Drosophila melanogaster: one gene and its partner. The gene in region 1 interacts genetically with each later gene. Each region holds a gene or a part of one and is shown on either strand. Other genes may lie near its edges. The genes, in order: Npc1a and sit.

Evidence for each region.
Region 2: of Npc1a (region 1) and sit, changing one suppresses a phenotype caused by changing the other (phenotypic suppression), as found in Drosophila melanogaster (one study listed by BioGRID).

Annotation. Positions count from the first base shown.
Region 1 is NT_033779.5:10,214,597-10,223,527, forward strand, and holds the start of Npc1a (Niemann-Pick type C-1a), read right to left. Parts: upstream 6,357-8,931; 5' UTR 6,273-6,356; exon of another isoform or gene 5,283-6,272; intron 4,294-5,282; 5' UTR 4,276-4,293; coding exon 4,183-4,275; intron 3,807-4,182; coding exon 3,636-3,806; intron 3,577-3,635; coding exon 3,420-3,576; intron 3,364-3,419; coding exon 3,287-3,363; intron 3,223-3,286; coding exon 3,004-3,222; intron 2,938-3,003; coding exon 2,745-2,937; intron 2,585-2,744; coding exon 2,265-2,584; intron 2,205-2,264; coding exon 1,914-2,204; intron 1,855-1,913; coding exon 462-1,854; intron 396-461; coding exon 1-395. Other genes in the region: Prosalpha6 (proteasome alpha6 subunit), read left to right, coding at 6,847-6,849, 6,918-7,547, 7,606-7,812; Bcs1 chaperone, read left to right, coding at 8,550-8,931.
Region 2 is NT_033777.3:22,557,497-22,565,074, reverse strand, and holds sit (stuck in traffic), read left to right. Parts: upstream 1-2,502; 5' UTR 2,503-2,550; intron 2,551-4,645; 5' UTR 4,646-4,765; coding exon 4,766-4,826; intron 4,827-4,899; coding exon 4,900-5,465; intron 5,466-5,806; coding exon 5,807-6,067; 3' UTR 6,068-6,733; downstream 6,734-7,578.

The DNA of each region.
Region 1 (8,931 bases):
CATGGTCAGATATTGTTCGTAAAACACATAGAATACTGAATATGGAAACACTTCGACCGTAAGGGCCGATGCCATAGGAACTCCATTTGACATTAGTCTGCCCTGCAACATTTGCGTAATATTCGCGGATATCTTTCTAGCCGACTCTAGGGCCAGAAAGTAGTCGGCCGAGGACTTAAGTATGGTGTGGTATGCCATAAAATACGACGCCTCGATGTTCAGTCTTTCATGGCTGTTGGAATACCGAACAGCTCCGCCATAGGCGGCATGACCGGCCTTGGCGCACGTGTCATCGGGATTGTCCTTCAGGAAAAATGGCAAATACTTAACAAACTCCTTTTCCTCCGGCCTAAGAAGTGAATTCTTCGTGATATTACACCTCAAACAGGAAGTATCTGAAATATGAACGAAATGTTATTAGATATTTTCTATGCTCAACTATGGATTAGGTCAAAACTCACCCTGATGCGGACAAAAGTCGCCGCTATCCTTTCTATATTTGCAACAGGATGATGCTGCTGCCGCCCAATCGAAGTAGTCATCGATCCAACTGGATGCTGGACGCGCGATATACGTTTGGTTAGAGTGCCTACTGGCTAAGTAGATCTGCGTGAGTACGCTGTCATCGTTGCAATATTGACCTGCACACACCAAATTCTGATCCGAACTATTCGTATAGGCTAGATCGCCCTTCAGCACAAAGTACACTGGTGGACCAATGTTGAGATTCTCGTTCAACGATTGGAAATAGTGCAAGACGAAACTATCCTGCGGCATAGCCAACTCTTGATCCAGCCCAATGTCGATTCGTGGCGCAATGGCAATGCTGAAGCACAGCCAGGCAAAAAAGATGACCATCACACTGGCGCGCACAATTTTCTTCATCAGAAATGGGACGTAAACACTACTGAAAAATTTGTACAAGAGTCCCTCATTACTAGTTATACTATCCGGCTTCTTGCCCTTGATGAAACAACAAATGTCCATACGATTCTCCTCCCTGCGCTTCGTATCCAACGTAAATAGGCTAACGAAACAGGTTATTTGCAATAGAAAATCAATGATGAGGGCTACGCCGGCGTATAGGGCAAAAGCCCTTACGGCTGGCATATCAGAAAGGCCACCGAGAAAGAAGCAAAAGCTTTCACTCAACGAGGTGAGCAGCATACTGGGTCCAACCTTGCCGAGTATTCGACCAACTTGCTGCTCAAGCGTTTCATTGGGTTTGCGTTGATCGCGCTGATGAGTTTGGACCAGAATAAAAATGTTATCCACTCCGACAGCTAATACTAAAAACGGTATGACCTCGACAATGATCAGGGTGGCCGGCAAACCGATGTAACCGAAAACGCCAACGGACGACACTACCGAGGCCAAAACAATGATGACACCGCCTATGCCAAGCGTTATCTTACTGTCGATAAACACTCGCTTGAACTCCTTGACATGGCCAAGCGAAATCGCTATGTACATGAACATAATTAGGTAGGACACCAAAATAGTCAGCACATCCGACTGGGACTCCCTGTTGAGCTCGTCTTCTATCGATCTCTCCGATGTGAAGGCTATGTCCATGTACTGCGACATATTGTTCTTCGTATAGTTGGTCATAAACTCCACGAATTTCTTCTCCCACGTTAAGGCATTTTCCAAATCGGTTTTGTTATGATGATTCTTGACCAGGAATGTCAGAATGATCGCATTGGCCAACTCAAATTTCGTGCTGCCAGTCAGTTGGTCTCCAGGTGGCAGGAATCCTCCAAGTGCTATGGCTGGATCTACGGGACCGCCATAAGGAGCTAGGCATAAATAGGGATTGCTAATGCAATCGTATAAGGCATCCAAATAGGTAACCTATGAATAAAACCGAATTCGAACCTGATAGCAAATCTATTGAAGTATATTTGACTTACATTGAATCCATTGTCCTCGTCGTGGTCATCCAATCTTTCTCGATCATCGCCAAAGTATCCCCAAATCGATTGGACAACGCACTGGGACACATCGATTTCACTGCCATCATCCGACAAAGGCGCGTAGCATATATCCTTCAGCTGTGTGCCATTTGCGTTAATTTCCTTGATGCCCTCCTGCAGATCCAACACTTTTGTTAGAAATTCTCTGTCGAAGACGGGACCGAAGGTGTATGGGCCGTTCGAGGTGTTGTGCACAATCTGTGGCAAGTTCACAGCTTTGATGATTATCTACAAGATAGATAAAGATTACGATTATGCAAAAAAAACCATTATATCTCAAAAGCTTACCTGTTCCAGCCTATAGAATGGCGAAAACTTCGTATCGAAAAACTCTCTCTCCAGTCTGGATTTTGAGTTCGGCGAAGCCCAAAGTTTAACCGGATCCGTTGTGATTTCTATAAAGTTGATGCCATACCCCAGTATAACAACCAGGGATGCTCCGGCAATTAAAGTCAAGCCAGGATTGCTAGCAAAGTACGTTCCCCATTTGGTGAAGAATGTTTCCAGGAAAGTTTCTGTGTGGGCGCCAAGTTTTTCAAAGTATGAATCATTCTCGCTGTAGGGCATTTCATCGGAAACATCATTGCCATCCACTTGAAAGTTGTCATCTGAAATAGGGAAATTCATTATATTTCAAGCTACTAAAATGGTCATTCATTCATTCATTCATGAGTTTTGCAAATTATTCACACAGAAAGTGTAATTTGAAGTACACTTAACATTCAGATATGAAACTAGTGACGAATAATTTAACTGCGTAAAACTCACCCATGGACGAACCTTGTGTAAACAGAAACGAGCCCATTAAGAATACTAAGACTCCCACCAAGAAGACAGCTGCCATGATGACGAAATAGGCGTCGAGTCCAACAATTTTGAAGGGCTCTGGACGGGGCGGTTCCGGCGGTCCCTGGGGACAGGATAGGTCGCAGTCCGAGCAGGAGCACGCAGGTAGTTTGCTCTACAAGCAATTTATATATTTAGCACAAAATGAAATGAATTTCCAATAAGGATAGTAGGTACATACGCTAACTGCTTGGTTGCAAGGAACGGTCGTTACATTGAGGGGCGTAAAGTTATTGCTATTTGATTTGGGCTCATGTTGAATATAGGTAATTTGAAAAGGAACATATGGATTGGTGGCATCGCCCATAAAGTTGAACCATTTTGTAGGATTGCAGCGAGATGCTGAGTAAGCGCCGCACATTAAATCAAAAGCTAATTGACCCGTTTGCGGTACAGAAACCTATTTGAACACAAACAATAATTATTTTCGATCAATGAATAATGTATATGGAATCCAGAAGTACCTGAGAGCACGATTTATAAGTCTTGTTGATGTATTCCGTTGATATATGCAAGTCAACAGAACTTATGTACTCATCACCTGAAATTCGGAATATATAATTATTCAATAATTAATAAGCTATTAATAATGATTACCTTTCTTATTTTTCTGCGTGGCCACCACATGCATGAACTCAGCCTGCTTTGGTGAACAGGTGAATTGGCAGATGTGCCGCACCAAGTTCTCCATGCAGGATGGACATCGATCCAAGATATTTCCGGCCAGCTCCACATTCTTATTAAGGAGCTCCACCTGCAAAGGCATTTGTTTGATAATTATGACGCCTGGGCAAAGCTAATGCTACTCATAACCTGATTCTTATCGCAGCAAAATTTGTTTTCGCTATTCTCCAGCAGAAATCCACAGCGTTTCTTCAGCAGCTCCAGACCGTCAGTTGCCATTTCCTTCGCTGTTCCATTGTACGGACAGTTTTGGCTGTGCGAAAAGTCATTGGTGTTGCACACGCCATACCAAACGCAGTCCTTAAAAAGTTGCAAAATAAGTTAATAACATTATAGAGCAGAGATATGTAGAGTGAGCTAAGCTAAGTTGAAGTCTGGTTTTTAGCTATCTTTTTGCTGACCCCAAATACCTTTTTCAAATTTAAATATTACTTCCAAAACTAAGTACGTCATCTCACCGCCACCCAGAGCTATAAAAATATATATTTTTTCTAATTGCCTTGCATCTGTTTTAGCTCATTCATTGTTGAGGTGAAACAACAGCTTTTCCAATACAATTTACCAGTCCATTTTCAGAAATGATTTTACGACGACTAATCTGCGCGATTAAAAACCCAGTATGCTTAATATTGATAAAATATTGAAATTTAATGATAAAAACCAAATGTTAGTTTACCTGTTTCGATGATTGAATTAGCGTAAAGAGCACAGCAGCGATGAGGATGTGTACTCCAAATGGAGATATCCTGAGCGGGGATCTTGGACTCATTCTATCACAATCGCATATCTGTAAAGAACGTTTTTGGTTAAAGTATGCACCTGGGCTTACTATTATGTATGATATTCGAAGTAAGAGTCTCGGTTTTCGACTAAGAACTGAATCAAATGTAATCCGAGCCTGGCAAATTCAACGTTTTCGCTTACACAAATAAAGTACACTTCATGCAAATTTGCGTTTAGCCAGATGAAACCGTTTTCCAACGAATTAAATAAACATTTATTCCAGCAAACCAAATATATATATACAAAATATACAACGAAGTGAGTTTTGGAACACTTGCAACTCGCAATTGCGATATCTGGCGATTAAATTGTTGTTTAGACTCTGCAGATGCGCTGCAATTCGATAAGCAGTATTCCTAATAATAGAACTGCCTCCTAAGGAAAGAATAACAATAAAACTGATTCATTGCCACGCTTCAATATCCATTCAGTTTCAGTCAATATATATTGCTGAATGGTGTAATCAAATACTCGAAATTATAATGTAATCAAAACAGTGCACATTATATGGTTGGGTGGTTTAGAATTTCGGATAATCCCTCCACTCATTAAAATAATATATACCGATATGAAAACCAAATATACCAAAATAAAAGATTGCGTTTGTTTCGAATTTGTTTAACTTTTATTTGCCAAAATGTTTTGTATTTACAAAGAAAAATGTTAGTAAAATTTTCAAAAATACCACATGTTTTGTTAGGCATGAATATGAATTAATAAAATATTATTCAAAATTTCTAAGAATGCTAAAATTAATAGCGGAATTTTGACAAAACGATGGTTAAACTTTTAATAAATTAATATTTATAAATCTTTATGACTTTGTGTCATAAAAATCAAACTAGAATATGTATTAAAATAAATTTAAGATAAATCTAAACAATTGCATTCGTATTTAAAAAAAAAGATGAATGATTTTACTATCTTGTATACTGAAAATATTCTATAAAAAATGCATGACAAAAAGAATTGAAATAGTTTTCGAAATCGTACACCTATGATTTGTGTGCTAATTGACACAAAATGCGTTTTAATATCCAAAAAACTCGTGATCCATTAAGAGCAGTTCAAGAATTGTGACCCAATGGTCAATATAGAGTGAATCCACGAACACTGAGACCATTTGATACCGACTAGCTAGGTTAACAAGGTAGCTGGGCATGGAGCTACATACATAAGTCGGGTTTGGTCTTTGACATTGATACGTTAAATTTCGCGCTAAAACGCATTGTCGTTAACTGGCTTTCGTTATATGTATCTACAATACTAAACGACTACTGAGAAAGTGATGATGCAACTAGTTGTCTGATTTTATGGAGGGGGAAATTCCATTATGCTCGCTCGCTACGTACTATGTACAACTTCTTGGGAAATCGACACAACCGCTTCGATTGCCTTTTTTCCCTTCGCCACATGCAAATTTGGCTGGTGGTCAGTCGCATTTGGTAAATGGCATCGGGAATGGGATATGATCAGCGGATTGAAATATTCTGTGCTGGTCCATTCACGATGTTTTATTTATATATTTATTTTGCGCTATTTGGATATGTAGCTAAGCGGATGTCACGGAATAAAGCAATCTTGTAGCGAAGATATGGGAATACGGACAGCGAACAGTAGCCGCATTGAAGGGCACGCAATATAAGTATACTATCACTTTCACAGAAATCGTTAATTGTAAACATTAGTAATGCGCCGAACCAATAAAAATGTTTTCTTTGTTCGTGCACATACGTATATAGGGATATTATGAGGTGTACATATGTATGTAGCGGTTTGTGTGTATGTGTGTGTGCAATGAAGTCACCTTAGTTAATTCCTTCAGTTAATTAAATTACACGGCTTTATGATTAAGGTGCGCACGAAAATCTTTCTTTCTACTAATCTTAACAATGCAATTTTGATGCTAACACTTTCGAGTGGAGGTATATATATAGGCGAGCATATACCCTCGACAAACAATCCGATTACGGAGCTACAAACCCTCGGTCCCAAAACAGGAGAGAGTGAAAACTAACTGAAATATACAATTAAAACGTAAACACTCCCACTGACAGCTTATCAGACTTAATGGCAAAACAATCGATTGTAGTCGATATGCAGTGATTCCGAATGCAAGTTGGGAACAAGCGAATGGAACAAGAAATTCATTTAATTTTTTAAGTATGCAGTTAATAAATTAAACTAAATATAACTTAATTGTTAGTTAAGTCCCGATAAGCCGTTATAGTTTAAAATTGTATTACTCACATGGTATGCTGTAATTGTTGGTCAATTAAACGTGTGTAGTCAGGTATAATGTGGTGCTGGAATTAATTTAACTACGATTAACAAGGTGCTCATACAAGTTTACTGATTATAATTAATATCATTATCCCCTTAAATTTGTATGCATATCCTACAATGTTCTATTGCATCGTTCCAAAAATGATAGCATGCCCGAATCCCTTATCGATACCCGATACACAGTTTGTTTGTGTCTCCCGGCGTGCCATAACTAACTATCGGGCATTTCTACTTGTCATCATTGAGCTCAGCGGCTTGCATTTCAAAAGTCATGGTAAAGTGTTTATTGCGAATAATGGTGTGCTAACTGCATTTGTTACAAACTCACATCTTTGCTTTCAGTTTCGCAACCAGTACGATAGCGATGTTACTGTGTGGAGTCCGCAGGGACGTCTCCACCAGGTGGAGTACGCAATGGAGGCCGTGAAACTTGGCACCGCAACCGTGGGCCTGAAAAATAAAGATTACGCTGTACTTGTCGCCCTGTGTAAGCCGACATCGGAGCTATCGGATACCCAGCGCAAGATCATCCCAATCGACGATCACCTGGGCATTTCCATTGCTGGCCTCACGGCTGATGCCCGCGTCCTTAGCCGGTACTTGCGCTCCGAGTGCCTGAACTACAAGCACTCGTACGATACAACCTATCCAGTCTCGCGTCTGATCACTAACCTGGGCAACAAGATGCAGACGACCACTCAGCGCTACGATCGCCGTCCGTATGGAGTGGGCCTTTTGGTCGCCGGCTACGATGAGAGGGGTCCGCACATCTATCAGGTCACGCCATCGGCGACCTTTTTCAATTGCAAGGCCAATTCGATCGGATCGCGTTCACAGAGTGCACGCACCTATCTGGAGAAGAATTTGAACAAGTTCTTGGACAGTTCCAAAGATGAAATCATCCGTCACGGAATTCGCGCTATACTCGGTACCCTGCCTACGGATGAGCAAGGCAAAGATGCCGGTCAGTATGTAAGTTCATTGCACATTTCCCGTCGCGAATAGTTAGTAAATTGTGTTTTTCTTGCAGGACATCACTGTGGCCATCGTCGGCAAAGACCAGCCATTCACAATTCTCTCTAATAAAGACAGCGCCAAGCATGTGGCGATTGCCAAAGAGAATGACAATGATACGCCCAGGAACGACGATGACGATGATCGCCCATCCCCCCCAGAGGAACCAGCAGCCGGACCACGCGACCCAGAAGTCCTGGTTGCAACCGAGCAGCGTCCATAGGCATTTATAGGGCTATGAAAGCATCTTAACCATTAAAAATGTAAGATTCAAGGATACAATAAAATTGTTCATGCATTTGCATAGATCCTAAAACGGAACAAACTGAATAAATGAATACAAAAAATCAATGTTATGGGTAAAATTTTTTGATTTTAATTTTAAACCTTCATTTATTATTTATTTATAGTATTTATTAAATATTGGTTTTTCGATATAAGTTTTCCCAACTTATTTGCATTTTTCCGATTTCACAGTTCGGTCACACTGTTGGATTAAAAATATTTATCAATGCCGGTATTGAAACATTTCTACTATAAAAAAATGTTGATTGCTTTTAGTGAATGACAAGTTATCCTCTAAGATGGTTTTTATGCCAAATAAAATGTGCCACTTCAGCGGCAACTTGTATATTTATTTGCTCACACCTAAATTACAATTAATTACATAACGAGAGTGATGGCAAATGGTTGATTTAAATAATAAAATTACATGGTTTTCTCATGAGAAAATAAAATTGTTGGTGCCTTTGCTGAAGCGCACGTAAACAGTATATGTTAGACTTCAGTTTTATTTGTTTAAAAAGTTGCTTCGAAAAGATGTACCATTGTTTACAGGAGGAACCCATGTTTTGGATGATAGATTAAGCAACAGGTGTTGTTTTATAGGGTTTTATTGCCGAAAAAGAGTAAAACACTTTAATTAAACGTTGATCCTTGTTCTCGGTTTTTGCAGACAAGATGACTTTGCCCGATCTTGTAGCTGGACTTTCGTCAAATCCCTACTTTGGTGCCGGTTTTGGACTATTTGGTGTGGGCGCCGCTGCTGCCATATTGCGCAAGGGCCTCCAGGGCGGAGTGATACTGTTCCGGCGGCACTGCATGATTACCCTGGAGGTGCCGTGTCGGGACAAATCCTATCAGTGGCTGTTAAAATGGATTACGATCAGAGGAGCGCGAAAAACGCAACACTTGAGCGTGGAGACAAACTTTGTGCAGAACGACAATGGCACAATCAAAACCAGCTATGACTTCATACCCAGCATAGGCAAGCATCTGTTCCAGTACAAGGGCAATTGGATTCAGGTGGAGCGGACCAGGGAACAACAGACATTGGACCTTC
Region 2 (7,578 bases), on another chromosome or scaffold:
CTTTTTTCTTCACAGTCTACAGCTGTGTATAAAATAATATTTGTATAAAAATTTAATTCAAAGAGTTTTAGCCAAGTTTTAGTCTTAACTTTTGTAGATTTAAACCAATATTTTTCAGTCATGCTTGCAACACATCGAAATTGTTAAGCTTTTTAAGCTTGGCTTTGCAAACTTGAACACCAGATGGCGCCAGCAGCGTGTGAAAAAGCCAAGCTCGGAAATTGAAGTCGGCGGACCGCAAAAAACTTTAATGCGGCCAATTAAACATTTAAGAGCCTCATTTGCAATTGCTGTTAACAATCTTACGACTACAAGTTGCTGTAGGCAGGAAAATAAAGTTCGTTTTATTGGAGTAACTTTGCTGAAATTGTTTGATCATCGGAAATCAATGATTCAACTGTTTGACGCCCTTGAAAGCAGAAAAATCACCAGTTATCATAATTACTTTATAATGTTTTGTCCCATCGCCAATTGAGGGTTCTACAAGCCAAAGACATTTTGCACATTTGATTATTACCCTTGCGACTCAATTTTGTCTACGCAATTTGCCGCGAATATACAAACAAATTCAATAATAATTGTTTAACGGTTTGTTCGCCAGTTTGACTGTTGGCTAAATGTAAATGTTTGCGGAAGATATTTGCATAACTGGCAGCAACCCCTCAGATACATTTATATATACATACATACATACATACATATATATCGAACTCGATCGCATGAATCGTCTGCAGCGACAGCGATAATAAACTAACGTCTTTTGCATACGATTATGATCCGCTTGATGGCTGGTGGCCAAACAAAAGACGAATGCAAATGAAATCCGAAACACCGGAAGAATTTGTCACTGGCTGAGGCGCACACGGCGTATGATTGATTCCTGGCCAACGAAGGGATTCACCCGATCAACCATACGCCCGGTCGACATTCACCCACATCTTATGCAGTCCACTCGGATTCGAACTCGAACTGGTTGGCATAAGCTAATCGGCAAGTTCAAGTTCAATTCGCCGGTGACACAGTTAACATTTCGGTGACCCCAGCCTCAGCCTCTGTTTTTTTTTTTCTCAGACATCGAAGTTCGAAGTCTTGGCCAAAATAGTTGCTATCGGTTTGGTTTCATTAACTTGACCCGGAAGTGGGCCTTAATCGATGCGCTGCGATCATTGTGGGTCGTTAGAATCCGATTCCGAATCTGATTCCGAGCCCTGGGCCCAAAGAATTTGTATGTAAATTGCCAGGTAAATGCGCCGTTTCCTTGAATAAACTTTACAAACACTTTTAACGAAATACTTCTGGCTGTAAACCTTTCCGCTTTATGCCGATAATAGCAATGTTTTAGGCTTGTTTTAAATAGTTTTCAAATTGCTTGTAAAACAGTCTAGGGAATTTCGCTGATTCGCCAAAAAAAAAGGTCAACGAAATTATAAACCACCTACGCAGTTTCAGTTCAGTTCAGTTGGGTTAGGTTCTAAAGTTCATACTGGAGTTAAAGCGTGAATAAGTATTTCAAGTGGGTCAAGGTTACGAAAGCGAATTTGGATGAAGATATAAAAAAAGGGAGAATTACCAGAAACCGAAAACAAAATAGAATGAACATTTCATTCTGAGGCGATTTGAGACTATTTCTAGGGTTTGTTGTCATATTCTGGCTAATGATGAAAGAGCCTAAGGGAATGGATAAATAATACTCTATAATGACTGAATGTTGTTTAAAAAGCTATTAATTGAGAGAAAATGAAAGTATCATTAGGGTACACATACGTATATGTAGAATATATTCTCATTTGATAGAATGTTAGTTTCTGTTTGTTATTAGCAAACTAATCAGAGTTGTCCGCTGGGATTGGCTGTGTTTTCTAAAATAAAAACATTTTACTTTGCAAATGTTTAAATGAATTTTCTGTTTATTAGGTCTTGTTATTCAAATTTCTGGAAGCACGCTCAATGCCATAAATTCGCTATCCTCTAAGTTCTACCGCAATCGCTTTGACCAAATCGATCAAAAGTGACAACTATTCAAGAATATTTTATGATTCTTTTAATTGTACAAAAGGCTGCACAACCAAATACAAAACGAATTAAAAGCCAGACGATTTTGGCCAACAACAGCAACAAAAAGCCGGCAACACGCACACACAACACCAACATTGTTATCGCAATTATCATAGAAAAACGAGACCATACGAGACCATTCGATACATTTTGTGTATGTAGCATATAGCATATAGCGTTTGGAATCCACGAGGCACAAAAGAACATCTTAAAGCTAAAGCTAAAGTCAAAGATGAGGATGAGCAAGATGCCAAATAGCCGAGACAAAAGTTCGGCTAAACAAAAACTAAAGCTGAATCTAAACGCCGAACTGAAGATGAACTGAATACAGATACAGAAACAGATACAGATACAAAAACAAATCGGAAGGCAGAGACGAAGAAACAGCAGTGCCAAATCGAACCTTTAGTCGAAATTTTTATACATAGCGCCGTACAACTCGGCGGAGCAGTTCAGTGCGCGTACAAGTCTCGTGGGTAGCGGATGCCAGCAAAGGTATCTCCCCACTATACAATAATATACCATACTAAACTATACTATACCACACCACACCACATAGTGCCTCATATCAGCCTCATTTGAGCAAGACTAAAGATGGAACAAGACTAAAAAACAGTTGTCACGGTGCTAACATTAAGTTGTCGTCGCTCAAAATTAAGTGCACGGCAATCGAAGAGATTGCAACAGGTGCCCAACAAACCGCTTCATCTGTGTGTGCCAGTGTGTGTGTGTAGATATATCTGAGTGATCAATCAGATCAATCGTTGGAGGCGAGCAGTTATAGAATTCGTGGCTTAGACTGGATTGATACGCTGGTAGAGGTCCCTGAAAGTGAAGTTCTGTAGCTATTCAATCGACAGATCAGCTGACAAGGAAAGGTTTATAAAGTTTGTGCATTTCAATAGTTAGGGTACATATCCTTAAAAATCAACAAAGTATTTCAACACTTAAAAGGCTAGTAAAGATGAGCAAGGATACGCTTGTGTTTACATCTTTCTAAAATTTGCTTAGAAGCACAAGTAGATGATACTTCATATTTTGTATCTTTCACTTCCATGCCTAATATTTAGCTTAGATCAGCAAACTTTTTTTTTTTGCATAGAACAAGTGCCATATGAGGAGTTTAGCGATCTCCACCTGTCAAGGTCATTAAACCAATGCGACACATATTTGATTTTGGCAAAAACAAAACCGCCGTCGTCCAAATTGGGCAATAGGTGACACAATTTTCTATTTGCTCGCTCTAGGTGCTTCCAAGGTTTCCCACATCTCCGGACATTTACCAAATGACTAACCAAGTGGAAATACCCTCAAATTGGCTGGCGATGATCAGCCAGACACGACGGCGTCCAAATGATGCGACATCTTATGGCTTAGATCATAATTCCCACCCATTCCCGAACACACACAAAATAAAAAAGAGCAAGAAACGCATGGCAAGGTCGTAATTCCAACTGAAAATTGATAAACTGGATTTTCTTGGCCAGTATTTTGTGCGGCCAACAAAAGTGTTTAGCACCTTTTGGCTTATGACTGCCATTTGTCGCCTTCCCCCTCAAGATTTTCTGGCCCCATTCTGCGCTAACTGTTGCAGGTAATATTCAAACGGAGCCATAACACCTGAAGTGCAGGAAATGACCGGAGAGCTGAAGCCAAACCTGTTGATGGCTGCTGATAGCCGACTGGAGTGTTGGCCAAGTTGCCCTTCAAAATATCTCCTCAGTCGTTTTTTTTTTTATTTCAATTTGTTCCTCACTTCGCAGACCAAGAAGCCGATCAGAATAGCCTCGAAAACGACGCAAGAAATCATAATGCTATTCGATTATTTTGTGGTCTTAATCGGCCTTAGCCAAGTTCAAGTGTGAGTCGACTTCAAGTCAACGAACGTGAATGCTTGGAATTTAGCATGGGTGCTTGATAGCTCGATGGTTCTCAAATGCCCCCTTTGGAGGAGCAAGTTCTTGGCGATGATTAATCACCGGGAGTACCACTTCACTCTGTCCCACTTTGGACTAAACGACTTCTGTAGAAGATCCCCGAGATCCGTAAGAGAGTGGCAAGCAACAGCTCAAAACCAAACAAACTGCACAACACAAATATAATTTAGCTGGGTGTGCGAGTGGGTTTTATGCGTTCCACACGTGAGGCACTGAGGCACTGCCCAATTTACTTGGGTCTTGTATCTCGGGTCGTGAGGCAACCAACCAACCATGGTATGGGCCATATGGAGTTGAAGTTTTGAGGTGGCCACCAATTTGTTGCGGGCTGTTGTGCGCTGCGGTTGTTTAATTCATAATAATGAATATAATTTACTGTTACTGTTACATGATAATTTCACGGCATTTCACCGTCACCGTCACACATTTGCTATTTGCTATTCTCCTTCGCCTTCGTTTGATTATTATTTTAATTTTATTTAGATTTCTGGGCTCGGCAACAGCAACAGCAAAAGCAATGGCAAAAGCTGTAGCTGAAGCTATAGCTTTGGCATTAGTTGCTCGAGAATCGCATTAACATAACTTAACTACGAAAACTCGAAAAGATCTTTCCCTCATCCAGACTCCCTTCCGATCTTCCCAATTCCATTTAGATTTCGCAAAACTCGTTCGTTGCGACGCAGGCTAAGCAGATTTTTGAATTTCACATCGAAACGATCGTCGCTATATAATCGTATTTGTGGGAGCAAGAGTCCAACGAGGAGAATTTAAAAATGGCAGCCGTCAACGCAACACAGGTGGACTATTGGAATTTTCTGTTCACCGATCTGGCAGGTGAGTTGGATGGGGAGGGGAACTACCTGTGCCGCATATAGATGCTGATCAAATCCCTGATATTCCCACGCAGATCCCCGCACCAATGACTGGTTCCTGATCAAGTCGCCACTGCCCCTGCTGGGCATCCTGGCCTTCTATCTCTTCTTCGTGCTGTCCTGGGGACCCAAGTTCATGAAGGATCGCAAACCCTTCAAGCTGGAACGCACCCTGCTCGTCTACAATTTCTTCCAGGTAGCCCTCAGTGTTTGGATGGTCTACGAGGGCGTGGTCATCTGGCAGTACTACAGCTGGCGGTGCCAGCCGGTTGATTGGTCCCGCACACCCAAGGCGTATCGTGAGGCGCGCGTCGTCTATGTCTACTATCTGGCCAAGATTACCGAGCTGCTGGACACCATTTTCTTTGTGCTGCGCAAGAATGACCGACAGGTGACCTTCCTGCATGTCTACCATCACACGGTGATGCCCATGATCAGCTGGGGCACCAGCAAGTACTATCCCGGCGGACATGGCACCTTCATTGGCTGGATCAACTCCTTCGTGCACATTATCATGTACTCCTACTACTTCCTCTCCGCCTTCGGACCCCAGATGCAGAAGTATCTGTGGTGGAAGAAGTACATCACCAACCTGCAGATGGTAAGAACGCTTTATACGCTATCCATAGATATCTGTAGTATTTCAATTTGAGGGGTTATAAGAGGTTTATTACTTGCTTTGCTAATGACTTCATCTTAGAACTAAATAGGAAAGCACTTAAGTGGAAAATATTCAAATGTATTCTTTGATTTTAGGGCTGCACTTAAAAGTGATATATAGTTTTATTTTGTTGTGAGATACTAGAGCTCTACAACCATTTCATTTTAAAATTATCTAGATTAGTATAAGTACAAAACAGATAGATTCAGAAATAGATAGCACCTCATTCTTCCTTATCGATAGCTCTTAATGGTCTCCCGATTTTACGATTATTCTTACAGATCCAGTTCTGCTGCGCCTTCATCCACCAGACGCAGCTGTTGTACACGGATTGTGGGTATCCCAGGTGGTCGGTGTGCTTTACCCTGCCCAACGCGGTGTTCTTCTACTTCCTGTTCAACGACTTCTACCAGAAGTCCTACAAGAAGAAGCAGGCTGCTGCCAAGGAGAAGGCTCTGTCGGCGGATAACAATAATGATGGATGTGCCAAGGACCTCAACAAGGCAATTCAGCTGCAGCAGGAGAAGCAGAAGGCCTTGTAAGAGGGAGGAGCACAAACACCCACCGCCACCCACCCACACACACCACCCTCAACACACAAAACCCCTTCAATACTCGTACAAAAGGGCGGGTAGAAACACCCACTGAGAGCCACCCATGTTCTATGTGCAACCTTGTTGACTAATTTCTTAAGTAATCCGCCGCCAAATAGACGTGAAGCACGAAAAAAAAAAGAAAATCAGAAACGAGACGAATAGATATTTGAGCAAATGAGGTTTTCGAGACACAGATACACATATTATGTAAATGTAAATGTAAATGTTCAAACAGTTGAAATTGCTTTTTGCCGCCATCGTCATCATCATCGCTCGCTCCGTTTGAAGTTCGCCATCGTGTCGGGCGGACCCAAATGAAAGAAGTCGTATGTCTTTCGGCCAAAACTGAAACTGAACTAAGTTAAGTAAACAGGCAGAAGAAGCGTTAGTTGTGTAAATAAGTGTAGGTACGCATGCGAATGTGTTTTCTTTAGATTTTATATACGTGTGGTATGTAAAGTAGGCATTAAACAAGTGAAAAACTAGCTAATAACGAAACCATAAATACAAACACAATTTACAAATAAATCTAGAATTTTTTCTACAAAAATATCGTAAAAAAACAATGAGCCTTATTCTTTATCTTATGAATGGGAAATTAACGGAAGTGAGAACTGACACTCCTAGTGTCAATATACTGAAAAAGATCTCAACTTTGCTTTTATGGGAATTTTTCATATAAATCTGTTTTTATGTATCGTATATTTGTCAAAAAAGTCTGACATTTTTAATTAATAGATCACTTTATCAGGATCATGTACCCCATACTATTTCTTTATAGTTTGAATGATCTTGTTTTCAATACATTTAAAAGTTTTTTCCTTTTGACGCAATAATATATTATACTTTTAAATGAATTACTTTTCATTTAAAGAAATAATGAATTAATGCAATTGGCCTTGAAAACATTGCATATTCAAGCATTTCCTGTAATCATTTGTGTTCATTCAACTTGTATTTATGGTTTCAAGCCACTTTAATGGTATATTTGTCTTTTCGACAACATTGGGGTATCTCCCAAAGAGCAATCACACCCATTTGCATCCCAATCTAGCCATTCATGATCTCAGTAAGCCTCAGATAAATCGCACGAGGTAACCTTTGCTCAAGGAACCAACTCAAATCGATTGACCAGCTGATATATGTATGTATAACCAAGAACCTATTCATTCAGCAGCGGAAGCCAAAATGATTTAAATTTGAATGGGCGTGGCTAGTACAACTGGTCTATGGGGTGATGATCTGGACACGATCGGTTCATGAATTTTTACGAGACTCTGGAAAGACGACCACTTGGCCACTCATTAGAGCTCATTTCGCAGGCACCTTGAACGGCGGCGACGGAGGAGATAAGATTTTGATAAATTCCGCAGCCTTTTATTGATCAATCAGTCAAGACGGAACGCAACTGAAGCGGAAGTGAAAACGCATCTTCGAGTGGGGTTGCGGCCATCCGA